Linked DNA regions of Oreochromis niloticus. The protein of the gene in region 1 interacts with the protein of each later gene in a pairwise test. Links are inferred from orthologs where the notes say so. Each region holds a gene or a part of one and is shown on either strand. Other genes may lie near its edges.

Evidence for each region.
Region 2: the proteins of arl16 (region 1) and pde6d interact in binary tests that used the Homo sapiens proteins (3 or more experiments, as listed by UniProt). The two-hybrid records come from large-scale screens. The link is inferred for Oreochromis niloticus from reciprocal best matches to the Homo sapiens genes ARL16 and PDE6D.

The regions. Positions count from the first base shown.
Region 1 is NC_031969.2:22,590,920-22,598,195, reverse strand, and holds arl16 (ADP-ribosylation factor-like protein 16), read right to left. Parts: upstream 3,008-7,276; 5' UTR 2,896-3,007; coding exon 2,820-2,895; intron 1,514-2,819; exon of another isoform or gene 1,503-1,513; coding exon 1,447-1,502; intron 1,367-1,446; coding exon 1,250-1,366; intron 1,148-1,249; coding exon 1,032-1,147; intron 875-1,031; coding exon 709-874; 3' UTR 683-708; intron 550-682; 3' UTR 104-549; downstream 1-103. Other genes in the region: fn3krp (ketosamine-3-kinase), read left to right, coding at 3,226-3,366, 3,608-3,759, 3,894-3,985, 4,460-4,542, 4,708-4,830, 4,933-5,271. UniProt on the Homo sapiens protein: May suppress the RNA sensing activity of RIGI in a GTP-dependent.
Region 2 is NC_031981.2:24,030,389-24,037,966, forward strand, and holds the start of pde6d (retinal rod rhodopsin-sensitive cGMP 3',5'-cyclic phosphodiesterase subunit delta), read right to left. Parts: upstream 3,012-7,578; 5' UTR 2,776-3,011; coding exon 2,726-2,775; intron 1-2,725. Other genes in the region: rpl36 (large ribosomal subunit protein eL36), read right to left, coding at 5,350-5,439, 6,719-6,853, 7,114-7,206. UniProt on the Homo sapiens protein: Promotes the release of prenylated target proteins from cellular membranes. Modulates the activity of prenylated or palmitoylated Ras family members by regulating their subcellular location.

The DNA.
Region 1 (7,276 bases):
GTCACTGGCCACTTTATTAGGTATACCTCACTAGTTTTCCTTCAGAACTGTTTTAATTCTATTTAACAAGGTGCTGGAAACATTCCTTGGATTTTGGTCCATATTGACTTGACAGTCTTATGCACTTGCTGCAGATTTGTCATGTGCACAACCATGGTGTGAGTTTGCACCAGACTTTGAAGGTGCTCCACTGGATTGAGATCTGGTGACTCTTGAGGCCATTTGAGTACAGTGAACTGATTGTCAAGTTCATGACTGGAGCTTTGTGACATACTGCGTTATCCTGCTGGGTGCAGGGTACCAAGAAAATATCTGGCACACCATTACACCGCTACCAGCCTGATCCTCTGATACAAGGGAGGGTGGATCTATACTTTCATTTTATTTATGCCAAATTGTAACAATACCATCCAAATTCCCGGGAGAAACTGACACTCACTGGACCAGGCAACATTTTTCAATTCTTTGATGTCTAACTTTGGTTAGCCTGTGCAAACTGTAGCCTGTTTCCTGTTCTTAGCCCCTCTGGTCTCCTTCTCCTCTGACCATCTACAACAACAAGGCCAGAGAACTCGGTTCAGCAGATCATCTTTACCATGTTTCAATGCTTAAACTAATTCAGTTGCTGCCATGTTATTAGCTGATTAGATATTTGCATGAAAGAGTAATTGTACATGTGTACCTAATGAAGTAGTCAGTAAGCGTATGTCACTTGACTGTGACGGACTCCAGCCAGCTCATCACCTCTTTAAGTCCCTCTCCAGATCTGGCACTGACTTCCAGTGTTGTGATTGGCTGAGTCGCAGATGCAACAATGTCATCCATCCTGAACAGTGACTTTATCTCTATAAGGCTCATAGTGCAAGGCGTGTCCCTGGGGGAAAAATTTAAAATTGGAAAAGAAAATCAAAAATTTCCTAGTGGTATTATTAGCTTTCCTTATTACATACAAATTGCATTAAACCTGCTAGAGATCTTGTACAATATAGTAAAACACTAATAGAGACTGATGTGTATTCTAGGAGTGTCACCTCTTGTTGAAGAGAATAAGCACAGAGGCCTTGCTCAGAGGCTCAGCTGAGAGTACTGACAGCAGCTGGATACAGGAGGAGGATATCTGAGCAATGTTGGCTGAATCCACCATGAACTATGGAGAAATGTAAACAAAAGAAATCTACTCAAACACTTCAATTTAGAAAACCCATATTGAATATTACAAATATAAACAGCATGTATACAAAGATCATACAATGACAGAGGAGCAGTCTTTGAAGTAACTGGGCCATATAGGGCCCATGCAGCCTCCCAGCTCTCTCACAGTCACCTTCTTCTTCTTCACGGTCAGGTCTGTCAGATTGGTTCCTACCTACAAAGAATGAAGACTGGAGATTGAAGAAATTACACGGATAAGGTGTCAGAGAATTTGAACTGTCCATTAGTACTTACTGTGGGAAGAGTTGAAGGTGGTGTCCCTAATTCATCTAAACCATGTACGATAAACTGTAAATGAAATCTGATAGGAAAATTGACTTGAGCCAGCATTGCTATCAGCTTTAAAGAAAAACATTTTGAAATGTTTATGCAATATTTTATGAGCTATGAAAGTAGAACTTGAATATTTGTTATGAGTAAGGTTGGTGATGTCACAGCTGAGAGACTACTGTTCACTTGTCACCTCACAAATGAGATCATGTCATCTGCTCAGATGACAGTTTATTAATAATCCACCAATTTGGGCAAAGTTTATATGCGATGGGCCCCATGCATGTAATCTAGGCAACTGGAGGATAGTGTTTAACTTGTGCTGTTGCAGATCACTTCCCTTTCAATCTCTGAAATATAATTTTTAGAATAAAAGCAACTGGAAAAATACAGAAATAGCTAGCAGGCTGTATCTGGTAAGTATGCCAAGGACTTTTGAAGTGCAGGAGAAGCTCCTGAAGACATTTTATGACTCTGTGGTTCCAACAGCCATCTGTAATGGTGTTGGTCTGTTGGGGCAGCAGTATCTCTACTGGGGACAAAAAGAATTGAAACAGGTAGACCAAGAGTGCCAACGTGATGCCCTCTTGACCCAGTGGAGGTAGTAAGTGACCGGTAGCATTGTAGCTAAACACCTCCCACCCAATGCAGGACACTCTTACAGCACTGAGCAGCTTCTTAAGCGTCAGGCTGCTGGACCCACGGTGTGTAAAGGAGCAATATTGGAGGTCTTTCCATCTAGCAGAGCCGCAGCAGTAAAACACATGTATATTTACACATGCACACATTAGGGACTGATAAATAACAGTGTGCAACTGTTTTCAACACTCCATCTCCTATTAGCATCATCTGGGGGTTCTGTTTTGTTGCTTCTAGGCATCTAAAGATGTTATATTTTATCACTGCGCCATATATGTACACACATTTAAATTATACTTCTACCTTGTACATGTTTCCTATTGTTTTATATAATTATAATTATTATTGTTATTATCCACTTTCTGACCATTGACAATTTCACATTACAGTACAGCACTAATTTCTGCAGTAATGCGAATTTCCAAACTAATAAGGGCTATCATAGCTTCTATATTGTAATAATAATCTCTCTTAGAGGTCTTATTATGAAGATGAATTTGTACACATACCGATGCAAAATAAAATAACACTGGGTATCGACATTTGGCAATTGGGAAAGGCGATATACAGACCCTGGTCGTCCATTACTTAGCAACTTAAGTACTACACAAGCTCATAGGCTAAATTAGTTAGCTAATTAAGCTATTTGGTAGTATTTCCTTTTACGTCAAAGAAATTCACATGGCCACAAAGGATATTTTGTAGACGTTTGAGCAACAACGTCTTACCAACACCGGTCGCTCCGAGGAGTAAACACATTTCTTTGCTGGTCATGCCGGTTTTTCTGCAGAACCATAGTTAAACTCGTAGCGTATAGCTGTAGCCTCACTTGGCACCATGGCGACGTTCACGTGACCGGGCAGACGTCGCAACTATTGGACAAAGTAGAAATCAATCCAATCATAAACAACCCAGACTTGTTTATGATTGGCTACTACTCTATCATTATTTACATACCGGAAGCAAAACAAAATCCTGCTTCGGGACAAAGTCCTGGTTGGCTGCCACAACGGAAACTGTCAGAAAGACTTTCATACCCGCATTTGCAATGCGTAGTTGGTTTTAGTCCTGCTGTAACTGTCCTGGAACTGATGATAAATAATCATGGAAGCTAAGTTAAAGAAGGAGTTGGGGACAACCATGCTGAAATCAGCTGGTCATGCTGGAGGTGGATGCATCAGCGAGGGACAGAGTTATCATACTGACACTGGGAAAGTGTTTGTAAAGACAAATCACAAGAGTGAGGTATCTGCCATTGTTAGTTTTTCATTTTCTTTAACTGTTGTGTCATTCAGTTAGTTCATGGTCGGCTTTCGGCGTGTGCTCAACTCGGGACTTAAATGAATAGGACATGATCCAGCAGCTGCACCACACTACTGTCCGTGGACTTTGTGCGGGTGTTGTGGAGTGGAGAACGATGCAAATATTTACAGTTACTGAAGCTTGTGTTTACCAGACCGTGTTGTCCTGTCTTTAATTTATCCAGGCCAAACTGATGTTTGATGGAGAAGTGGCCAGTTTGGAGGCTATTGTAAAGACAGAAACCGTGAAAGTCCCCAAGCCCATAAAGGTGATTGAGCTTGACACGGGAGGCTCTGTATTTGTGATGGAACATCTGGACATGAACAGTCTTAGCAAGTAAGAGAGCTCTTGACTACATTTTTTTCTTTAGTGCAGTTTAAAGCAGAATTTGGGCAGATGAATTTAGTTTTAGAAACACTGAGCAAAATATTTTTTCAATGACATACTTTATTTTTAAATGCAATGAGCAGGTACTCAAAACAGCTAGGAGAGAAGATGGCAGATCTGCATCTTCACAACAAGAAACAACTGGAAAAATTAAATAAAGAGCAACAGACAGTGGGTAATTCAGTTTAACTTAATTTTAGGATGCCACAATGTGGATAATACACACACACACACACACACACACACACACACACACACACACACAACCCCGTTCAGCTATCTTAGTGAGGACCCTCATTGACATAATGGTTTCCCTAGCCCCTTACCCTAACCCTAACCATTAAAAATGAATGCCTAACCCTAACCCTTACCCTAAACCTAACCATAACCTAATTGTAACCCTGACACTAAAACCACGTTTTAAGCCTCAAAAATGGCTTTAAATGCCTTCAAAAATGTGAGGACCGGGTTGTGTGTCCTCACAAGTGACTGCTGGTTCTCACAAGTATAGTAGAATGCAGATTTCGGTCCTCACAAAGATAGCTAGACAAGAACACACACACACACCAATGAATAATAATGAACTGTGTCATATTTTAGGTAAAACGTTTGTGATGACTGTTTATTAATATTGCGGCTATATATGCAGGAAAAGGAGCGGGTCAGTCAGATGTGGCTGCTGTTGAAAAATTTGGCTTCCATGTAACTACATGCTGTGGATATCTGCCACAGGTAAAGCCAATGTATACGTGTCGATATACTGTGTCTGCATTCTAGGGGAAGGTGTACAGTATTGATGTCTCTAAGTTGTGTTACAAATGTTTGGTCTCCAAATCTTCAAGATGTTAAAGTGAATTTCAGCAGCATCACAGTTTCTTCTCTTTCTTACCTCTCCAGGACAATCAATGGCAGAGTGATTGGGTGGCATTCTACACCCAGCAGAGGCTACAGCACCAGCTTAACGTGGTGGAGAAATCGTATGGAGACAGGGAGACCAGAGAACTATGGGCTGAGTTACAGGTGCAACCTCCCTTTGATTCTGTTTGAAATTAAACATATTTTGCACAAGACATTATGATTGTTTCAGCATTGTAATGTGCATGTTGTGTCTCTTATTTCCAGCTGAAGATCCCCCAGTTCTTCAAAGATGTGGAGATAGTCCCCGCTCTCCTACATGGAGATTTATGGGGAGGAAACGTGGCAGAGTGTGCAGACGGCCCAGTCATCTTCGATCCTGCTTCCTTCTATGGGCACTCTGAGTTTGAGTTGGGTATTGCTGGGATGTTTGGTGGCTTCAACAGCGCTTTTTACTCTGCATACCACAGCAAGATTCCCCAAGCACCAGGATTTGCAAAGAGGAACCAGCTTTACCAACTCTTCCACTACCTGAATCACTGGAACCACTTTGGTGGTGGTTACAAAGGTTCTTCCATAAGAGTTATGAAGACCCTGCTGAAATAAACACACTCACAGCCACTCTTAGAAAGCATTGCAGTCTTAAATTGAAGTATTATGCGATTTTGCTTATTTGACCAAAAACAGTGTGTGAAGACACTAAACAACACATCTAACACTTTAATGTCTTCTGTACTGTGTAGAAAATGCTGACCTAACATAGCAAAAACTGTTGCATCCTGCCAGCTCATCTGACACTGTCCGGCTTCCTAATATTTATAACAGAATCCGCAAATAAATTCTGTATTTTGCACAAGGTGTTACAGTGAATTAAGTGTAGTTTGTGTACAGACATACATTAAACAAAACTTGCAAATCAGAAGACTGTACAACACACCCATGATTCAACTTAAAAATGAATGTTTTTTATTTATTTATGTTAATATTTAGGAATCCTTTATAAGCAGGTAGAACAAACTAGAATCTGACTTTCACTATGGATGCAATGTTTTATATTTTATCTACATTATAGTAGAATGGCTACGAATGGAATAAAGGTTGGCATACTAACTACACCTACAAAATATCACTGTATAACAATGAGTCATTGCAAGCCCTTGTTGTGCATGGTATAACCAGTATTAAATCCTAAGTGAATCCACTGTGTTTATCCAGACCTGCTGAATTTGTTATTTATCTAGTGTGAAAACCTTTACACCCTGTGAATGGAGGCATGGAAAAGAAAAACACTCCCATTTGGATGGAAATGTTTCATCATTAGATCAGCTTCACAGCAGCCCAAATAACTGTTTAGCAGTGTTGGGAAGGTTACTTTTAAAATGTATTCCATTACAGAATACTGAATACATGGCCCAAAATGTATTCTGTAACGCAGGGGTGGGCAATTCCAGGCCCCGAGGGCCGGTGTCCCTGCAGGTTTTAGATCTCACCTTGGGTCAACACACCTGAATCACATGATTAGTTCATTACCAGGCCTCTGAAGAACATCAGGACATGTTGAGGAGCTAATTTAGCCATTTAAATCAGCTGTGTTGGTTCAAGGACACGTGTAAAACCTGCAGGGACACCAGCCCTCGGGGCCTGGAATTGCCCACCCCTGCTGTAACGTATTCCGTTACGTTACTCAATGAGAGTAACGTATTCTGAATACTTTGGATTACTTAATATATTATCATGCTGTTTACAACTACGTGAATGTACTATTGCTGTGATTTATTACTGTTACTGAAGGTCCGCGGCTCCGAACAGTAGTAAAGGGACCTCGGGCTAATACAGTGGGTTCCGTGTCGGGCTGGTAGCCGAAAAATAGCTTTACTTTGTTGTCTGGGTCAACTTTGCTTGCCAGAGACAGAGAGAGGCGTTGAAAGGCTGCTCCAACGGAACTTATTTTTTCCGGAGGAAAACACGAACACAGTGTACAATTGAGTCTTAATAGCTTACTTAATAGCTTACTTAATAGCTTACTAGCTTACGCCCCACAGCTTACTTACTGTGGGGCGATCGTGGCTCAAGAGTTGGGAGTTCGCCTTGTAATCGGAAGGTTGCCGGTTCGATATGTTTTCCTTGAAATGGATAGCTGTTTGTTTGCTAGTGATAGGCTACTTGCGAACCAGTGTTCTCCAGACAGAGAATTGCGTGTCAATGTATTATGATTTATTATGAAAGTACAGGTGAATATAGCTCTCCCGTCAATATATTATGATATATAATAAATGTACAGGTGAATATAGCTGTCATAACAATGTCAGGCAAAATTGCAGTAGCTTCCCTGATCATTTTACAAACATAAGTGAAGAGAATTTGAACTAAAAGGCCTAGACTAATGGTTGTGTGCTGAATCTATGAATCAAACTATCACCTGGAAACATAATTAACTGGTCCATAGCCGTGAAACTGGACATGAGTTCTTGATTCTATGGAGATTAACAGTAATCCAGAAATTTACAAATTTGTCCTGGGACATCGTGTTAAAGTTGCCAGAGACATACCATAGCCTCTTTTAGCCCCTGTTTGTTTTATATCATAAGTCGCAGAAGTATGACGTCACAAG
Region 2 (7,578 bases), on another chromosome or scaffold:
ACATTCTCGCCTGAAAATATGTTAAACGTTTATTTTGTGACCCAGAAAGAATAACAAGAGTGATATTAAAACTAACTAGCTGCCGCCATTGTTGAAAACTGAGCCAAGCAGGTCCGCGCTATGAATTCTGGGACACAGCTTCTTCTTCTTCGGGGTTTAACGGCAGCTGGCATCCTTACACATGCAGTGCTGCCATCTTCTGTTTCAGTCCGTTATTACACTCTTAAATCCTACTACTTATTCCTGCGTCTTTGGGATCTTACGAAGCTTCAAACGACGTGTCGACTATTAAATTAGTCGTCAACGATTTTAATAGTCGACGTAATCGTGACTAGTCAACTAATCGTGGCAGCCCTACTTCCTTCCAGTTCCAAGATGTCTGAAGGGGTTTCGTAAGAACATCGTGACCATTTAAAATCATCACATTTCACCATTTACAAATCTGATGACTACTCAGTATGGGACGAAGTGAAATAACTTCACAAACACTACTTTAGTATTATGGAAGTTAAACAGGGCTGTTGTCATATTGGACTGTATATGTGTTACCGTTACAGTAAAGGAGGGAAAAAGAAAATGATATTCACCCCATTTCAATAAGGACAGAAGGCAGTAAAGCCCCGTTCCATTAAATCATGGATTTAAGCATTACCACAGTGCATCAAGAGGTCTGACCAAACGGTTAAAGGCATGCAGTAAAAGTGCTGTAGAAATGTGTGTGAATGTATGAATCAAGCCTGCAGTAAAAAGTGCCCACATGAAGCTGGTTAACTGGTCAAGTTAACCCAGGGAGTCCTAGTGTATCTTCAAGCTAATTTACATGAAAGGGTGACACTGGCACAGACCTAACCATTAAGTACACAATCACCCCCCCTACCCCCACCCCTTTCTTTTCTGTAGACTTTTTCCCATAGTACGATTTCTAATCTGGACATGCTTTTCAGTTTTTAGGTTTTCTGAGCATCAGAAATGAAGCGTATTTGTTTAATTCTGTGTGACACAGGTTATAACATAGTTTTACTCCTGTGTTTGAGTGCATATTTCAGAGCTTCTAGGCATGTCCTTGTATTTTAATGACTGTGAATTGACTCAGCACTGAGTTCTTATAAAATATAGGCAACCTAAACATCACATGTGTGCTTGAAACACCTCCTTAGCTTCTGCTTCATGCTTATGTTACAGCTTGTGTAGACAAGGCGTAACCCCTAAAAATAAGTCTACAATGATAACCTACACATAAGAGACTATTATGATACTACTCTACTGCACTTTTACTGCATGACTTAAATCGCTTTGTCTTTTTTTTTTTCCTTGTTTCCCTTGGTTAAAAAACAAACAAACAAAACAAAACAAGCTTCATGTTTAGTTTACAGACTGATGTTCTGACATTTGTTTTAAACTGGATGCTACAACTCAGAATTAATGAATCAATGACATGATGAGCTGCATCAAGCTTAAAGTGACTCTCTTTACCTACCTAAATGACTGAACACTTATCCTGCGTGGAAGCGGGTTACGTTCAGAGTTTTTCTTCAAAATCCACTGGAAGCACCATTTTTAAGTGCATTATAGATTCCCTGCTGGGGGAATATGTTTTATATTTGCAGCTGTTAAGCTGTACTGTCACAGGAATGTCCATGTATTAAACTGGCAAATTACAAAAATGTATAAATGTTGTTATACATGACTAATCTACTGCACAATCTCTTAGTCTGTTGGAACTCACATCAAATATACAGATTCAGGCAACAAAATTGATTTCTGCGTGTCTTTTATCAGGATGTGGGACAGTACCCCGTTTCTGATTAATCAGAAAGTTCCTCTTGGGTCTCATCTTTCCTAAGAAATGTTTAATTACTTCTGGCTTAGTGATGTGATCTTTACTAAGCCACAGATGGGCAGCAGTGTTCTCTTTTGAGAGCAGTGGATTTTCCTTGCAGTCCTGCGTTCAGTGCACCTGTGCAGAACAACAAAGATTTTGATCCATTTGTACAGTGTGACTGGATCGTTAGAGATGCCAAGTCAACGTTTTAAAAGCTGATGATGAACAGCATCTCCTATTCTCCAATCTTCACAAATCTGTTGCTCGGTCACTTTCTCAGACATGTGTTGGATGAGCGCTAACAGGCACACCAAAGAGGAATAAAATTGACTCACTACATGACTACACATTTAACAGGTCATACTGCAATCTCCAATGTTGCTCTGGTGATTAGCATACAAATCCAGAATACCTGAGTGGAATCAAGTCTGCCATCATCACACAAAGAGGCGCACCTGGGTTTCAACTTCCAGCATTACGGAACCATACAGCAGTCAGACTATGCTCAACGCGAGTCACATACCTGTGAGGCGCTTAATAATAGTTACAGGAGGCACAACAGTTACTTCTCAGCTACCTGAGCAAAATCTCATCCTCTTCATGTGCCACAGGTACTACAACTGCAGGCAAATTCACCCTCGTGTGGAAGCTCATGTGAGCCCACAGGTCGTCATTCAATGAGCTGCTGTTGTGTCCGTTCAGACACTGGAACACAGCAACTATACAACTCCGTGAGCAGAGACTGTGGCAGGTTAGCTTTAGCAACTAAGCTTGTTGTACAACAACATCCATCCTGCTAATGTGGCTGCAGCATCCTGTCCTATGCCTTTACCCAGACAGCTAGCTATTTAGCTCACTGCTGTGTTTCTAACATTCGCGCAACATAAACAGGAAAAAGGATACAGTTTGAAGCCCTTCAAAATTTCCTTGGCCCTGTCTTCGTCTGAAGACATGTCCGAAATGGTTTGTTTTCGTTCCTCACAGATAACCTAGACTTTTCTGAAAAGAGACGGCTGCTGTTCACGTTAGCTTAACTACTTGGCTAACTACTAGTCAGAATTCGCCTGGAACAACGTTCACTACTCTGCTGGACTGCAGGCTAAATCTGATCCGATAATGCAATCAGCTAAATATACCCAGCTAGCAAACGGGCTGCACACAGCCTAACCAGTGAAACGCAAGGGACCCCCTATCAGCCAATCACAAGGAGAATAGCGACCAAGGGCGGGACTAAAGCGGATAAAGACGCGTCACCAGTGGCAACGCCACACACAAAGTATTACATCATTATTGCGCTGTCTGTGTGCTTACTTCTTTTATCATTTAAGCACTCGCTCTCCTAAAACGCAAAACTAGGTGTGCGTTCAAATTCAGGGGCTGCCCTTAAAGACCGGAAGTGAGCGGCTGTTAAACTGGACCGTGTCCCCCTACGATGCTCGGCTCTTGTTGCTTAGCAACCGCGACAGTAGACGCTGCATCCGTGATGGACGTCCGAAATGGAGAAAATCTTTAATTTATGTCATTTATTTTACTTTTATTGGAGCAAAATTGTGTTGTTTCGTGTAATGTATGTGAGAACACCACAGCCGTGCGCGGACTCCCTTTAGCCAACAGTAATATTAACTTTAGCAAGTAAACTAGTTAGCTATAGTGTAGCTCAAGACACTATCCTCATTTCATTTTGATGGTACAAAAAATAATAGATCTTATACATATTTTATTATATATACTGTACTTACATAAAAAAATAGCTCACTGATAGAATTTAACTCAGTTGTCCTAAATGTTACATTTCAGTTCAAATTCAGGGTATTTAGTTCTAATTTTTAGTTTATACCTGTATGACTGTCTCACAAATAATTATATACTGCGACCCCTACAGCTGTCTGAAAGCTTTAGTTATATTGAAGGGCAATATCCCGTAGTGACAGCTAAAAATCCTTTTGTAGGTTTCAAATAAAATACAAGGTAAACGGATGTAGTAAATATTCTTTTATTGGATGAGAAAATTGTGCAATATAATTTTCTTAAGATGTTAAAGACAGAGCAAACTCTCCCAAATGCAAGGCTCACCAGGCTGGAAACTGTGGTTTGCACGCAGAATCCAAACTGGGCTGTCCTTCTCCAGGACCAAACAGTACTGAAAATTTACCATTTTTGCAGATGCTAAATCTTTTGATACTTATCTGGATTCATAATTCCATCGATTTTAACAAGATCTCCAACACCACTGGCTGAAATGCAGCCCCAACCATGAGAGAGCCTCCACCGTTTTTCACAGATGCAGGCTGTAGGTGTTCACCGTTTTACATCTTTCCTGACCTCCTCTACACTTACTGACAACTATTTGAACCAAAATCTTTTAATTTGGATCCATCACTCCATTGGGCCAGTTGCCACTGATTTTCAGTCCAGTTCTTGTGTAATGTGGCATACTTCAGGCTTTTCTTTGTTTACCTTTCTTAACAATGACTTCCTGTAAGCAACCCTTCCACTGAGGCAATTTCTGATGAGGCTTCAGTGAACAGTAGATGGATCAGCTGAAGGTGGAGATGCATCTCTCAGGTCCGAATAAGAAGATCATTTGTAACCTTCACTAAGGCCATTATTGTATATTGACTGAAACTCCTCAAATAAACTATTTTTCTCTGCACATGATCAGTAAGTGGTTTACAACTACACTTTCAAGAATTTCTGAGATAAAAGGAAGGTTGGAGATAATGCCTATAATTAGCCAATACAGCTGGGTCAAGTGGCATTTTAAGTAACTGTTTAACTACTGCCACAGAGGTCTGTGGTGCATAGCCAATTAACAGAGATGGAGATGATCAGCATTATTCAATTCACCTGTGAGTGCTAATTTTAGCACGACTGGTGTATGTGTAGCGTTTTGTAGTATTGATCACTCAAATTCTGTAAGACTACACGCCATACATCAAAACCATGCAAGCTCATCAAAGAACTTCCCAGTTGGGGTGTGAACCACAAACCCCTCACTGAGAGGCGACAGTGGTAACCACTGAACTTCCACACCTCATGTTTCTCCATTTCACTTTGTGAACTCATTAAAAAATTGGAAGTGGCTTGAGTGTGACCGTGTGTGAGACAGAATAAAGTGCTGGAGAACACTCAGCTGATTAAGCATTTTCACACACATCCCAAAGCTTCATGCTCCTTTCAAACAGAAATAAATGGGCACAAGTCACCATTATAAAATTTGTTTTATACTTAAAGTACACATTTCTATACAAAAATGTAATTGCTTTACTTCTGCTGCAGTGGTAAGTTCTTCGGTGATATTCATTCCTTTAGCCACAGTAGGCTAATCTACAGTCTGGTCTAAAGCCAAGCAGCATGTTATGTGTATATTTTGAAGCATCACTCAATTTTGAGATTTCTACAAACATCTTCAGGTGTGCTGTCGGCTAAGATGGTTGCAGCAACGTAAACAGATCTGATGAATAGTGACAAAGCAAAAAAAGAAAGACGAGGCTGGAATGTAGTTTCACGTTTTATTAAATGACTTTTTACTCCTTCTTGGCAGCAGCCTTTCTCATGGCAGCCAGTACGTTGCTCAGCTCTTCTCTCTTTCTCTTGGCCCGAATGTGAGTGCCGATCTGTAGGGGAAAAACAGTATAGAAATATTAGAAGAGCTCTGAGCTTTTCTGTTGTCCAGTCAGTGCATAATATCATATCCAACATACAATCACAAAAAAGCTCAGGTCCTTATAAATGGCCAACACACTACAGATTGCTCATGATAAAAGTACCTCACTGAAATTGTGAGAATGCACACATCTCAACTCATAGTTAACAGTTGGAAGGCTGTGTGACATGGAAAATAATGAGTGTAGCCTCCAAATCGCAAAACATGGCACTGTTTAACCTCATTAAGTGAACATGTTATGAAAGCTGAGCTCATTTTGAATGTGATCGCAGCCACAAATCATAAATAAGTTGGCACAGGGTCACATGCAGCACTGTGTAGCATCCCTCTTCTTCTAACAACAACCCACTAGTCCACCAGAGCAGCTGAGGGACTTGTGGAAGAGAAATGTTAGAAGATTATTCTTCTTCTCTGTTAGAGGATTTCAGCTGCTCAGCAGTTCTGGCCCTGCTTTGTCCTGTTTTTGGTGCAAACTGCCACTTCCAAAGGCACCGATTTCGATTAATATGACCTCAGCAGTTTCCCACTTTGCCTTAGTCTATTTTAAACTAGCTTTGGTCCAGAGAAGACAGCGGTGTCTATGGATAACACTCCGATGTGACTGCCACTTTGCATGTCAGAGTGCTAACCTGCATCTGTGGAGGGCACACTGAGCTGTGTTCACACACTTATCCTTAGCCCATGCACTGATTCCCACCGCACAATCATGCCTGTTTTGAGGGCCTGGTGATACGGACGTCCAACAGTGATGATATCATGAACTACAGATGATGAATTACTTAAAGTCGTCACGTGTTTACATTCAGAAACATTCTGAAATACAATTTGTAGATGCAGTTTTCTGCAGAATGGTGAACCTCTGCCTCTCCAAGATGCCCTTTTTAGACCAGTGATGTGACTCACATGTTGTCAACCTAAGTGGCTGCTAAATGTTCCTCCAGCTCTTTTTTTTTTAGTGCCACTTTTTCAGCTTGACCCTGTCCGAATGTTCTGATACCTGCTGCTGCCATCGAGTCAAAATGAGCTCAGTTTTCTTAACACGGTACATTTATTCAGTTTAAACATGTAATGCGTTTTATAAATAAATATTTATAAATACGCAAACGTTGTATTATCTTTATTTACATTTTACAACTTGTCCTCAATTTTGTGGTTTGTAACTGGGTAAATACTACTGTGGTTTAGGCTGGTGAGCACCTGCAGGTGCTTTGACACAAACACAAACTCACCCTCTTCTTGATGAACTTGAGGGCTCTCTTGTCCTTGGACACTTTCAGCAGCTCCATGGCTCTCCTCTCATACGGAGCAAACCCACACACTTCACGGATCATATCCCGCACAAACTTTGTGTGTTTGGTCAGACGCTGGGCAGTAAAGACATAGTACACGGTAAGTCAAAGCATTTAACACCATTCACTCCATTTGGACATAATGTGATATAGGAATGTTGATGCCTGATGATTATGCTTATGTGGACTGATTTACACTGTATGTTTCATCTTAAGCTTCAGGTCAATCCAGTCACAGAGTATGTACACAAACTACAGTCTTAAGTGCAAATATATTTATCCTAACACTTGTAATATAGTCAAGTCTGTAAAGTCACTCAGCAGGAGATACTCACCCCGCGCCGGCGGCTGTGTTTGGGAGCAGTTACATTTTTGGTGACTGGGTGGCCTTTGTTAAGGCCAACAGCCATAGGATAACGAATAGCCATGTCTGCGGAGGATAATACACAAACATTAAGACAAGTGCAAATGATGAGTTTTTAACTAGCTGCAATGTCACATGATCAAGAGACGTTGTACTTTGGTATGCAATAGCAGGAAGACCAACACTGACAACAGGCTCTTGTCTCAGCTCTATTGTAAGCCACCACATCAGCTTTGCACCCATGGGCAACGTTTTATCAAAGCCTTTTTTCCTACTTGAGTGGTCTACATCACTGGGTTCAGTGGTGTTATGATCATCTGACAGCAGGACAGCTCAAATAAAACAGGGTGTAGATGTGACATGGTAAGGTCTGTGAAACAGGAATAGGATGGGGCCCTCCATCGCTTTACTTTACTGCAAAGGTAGCTGTAGCTCA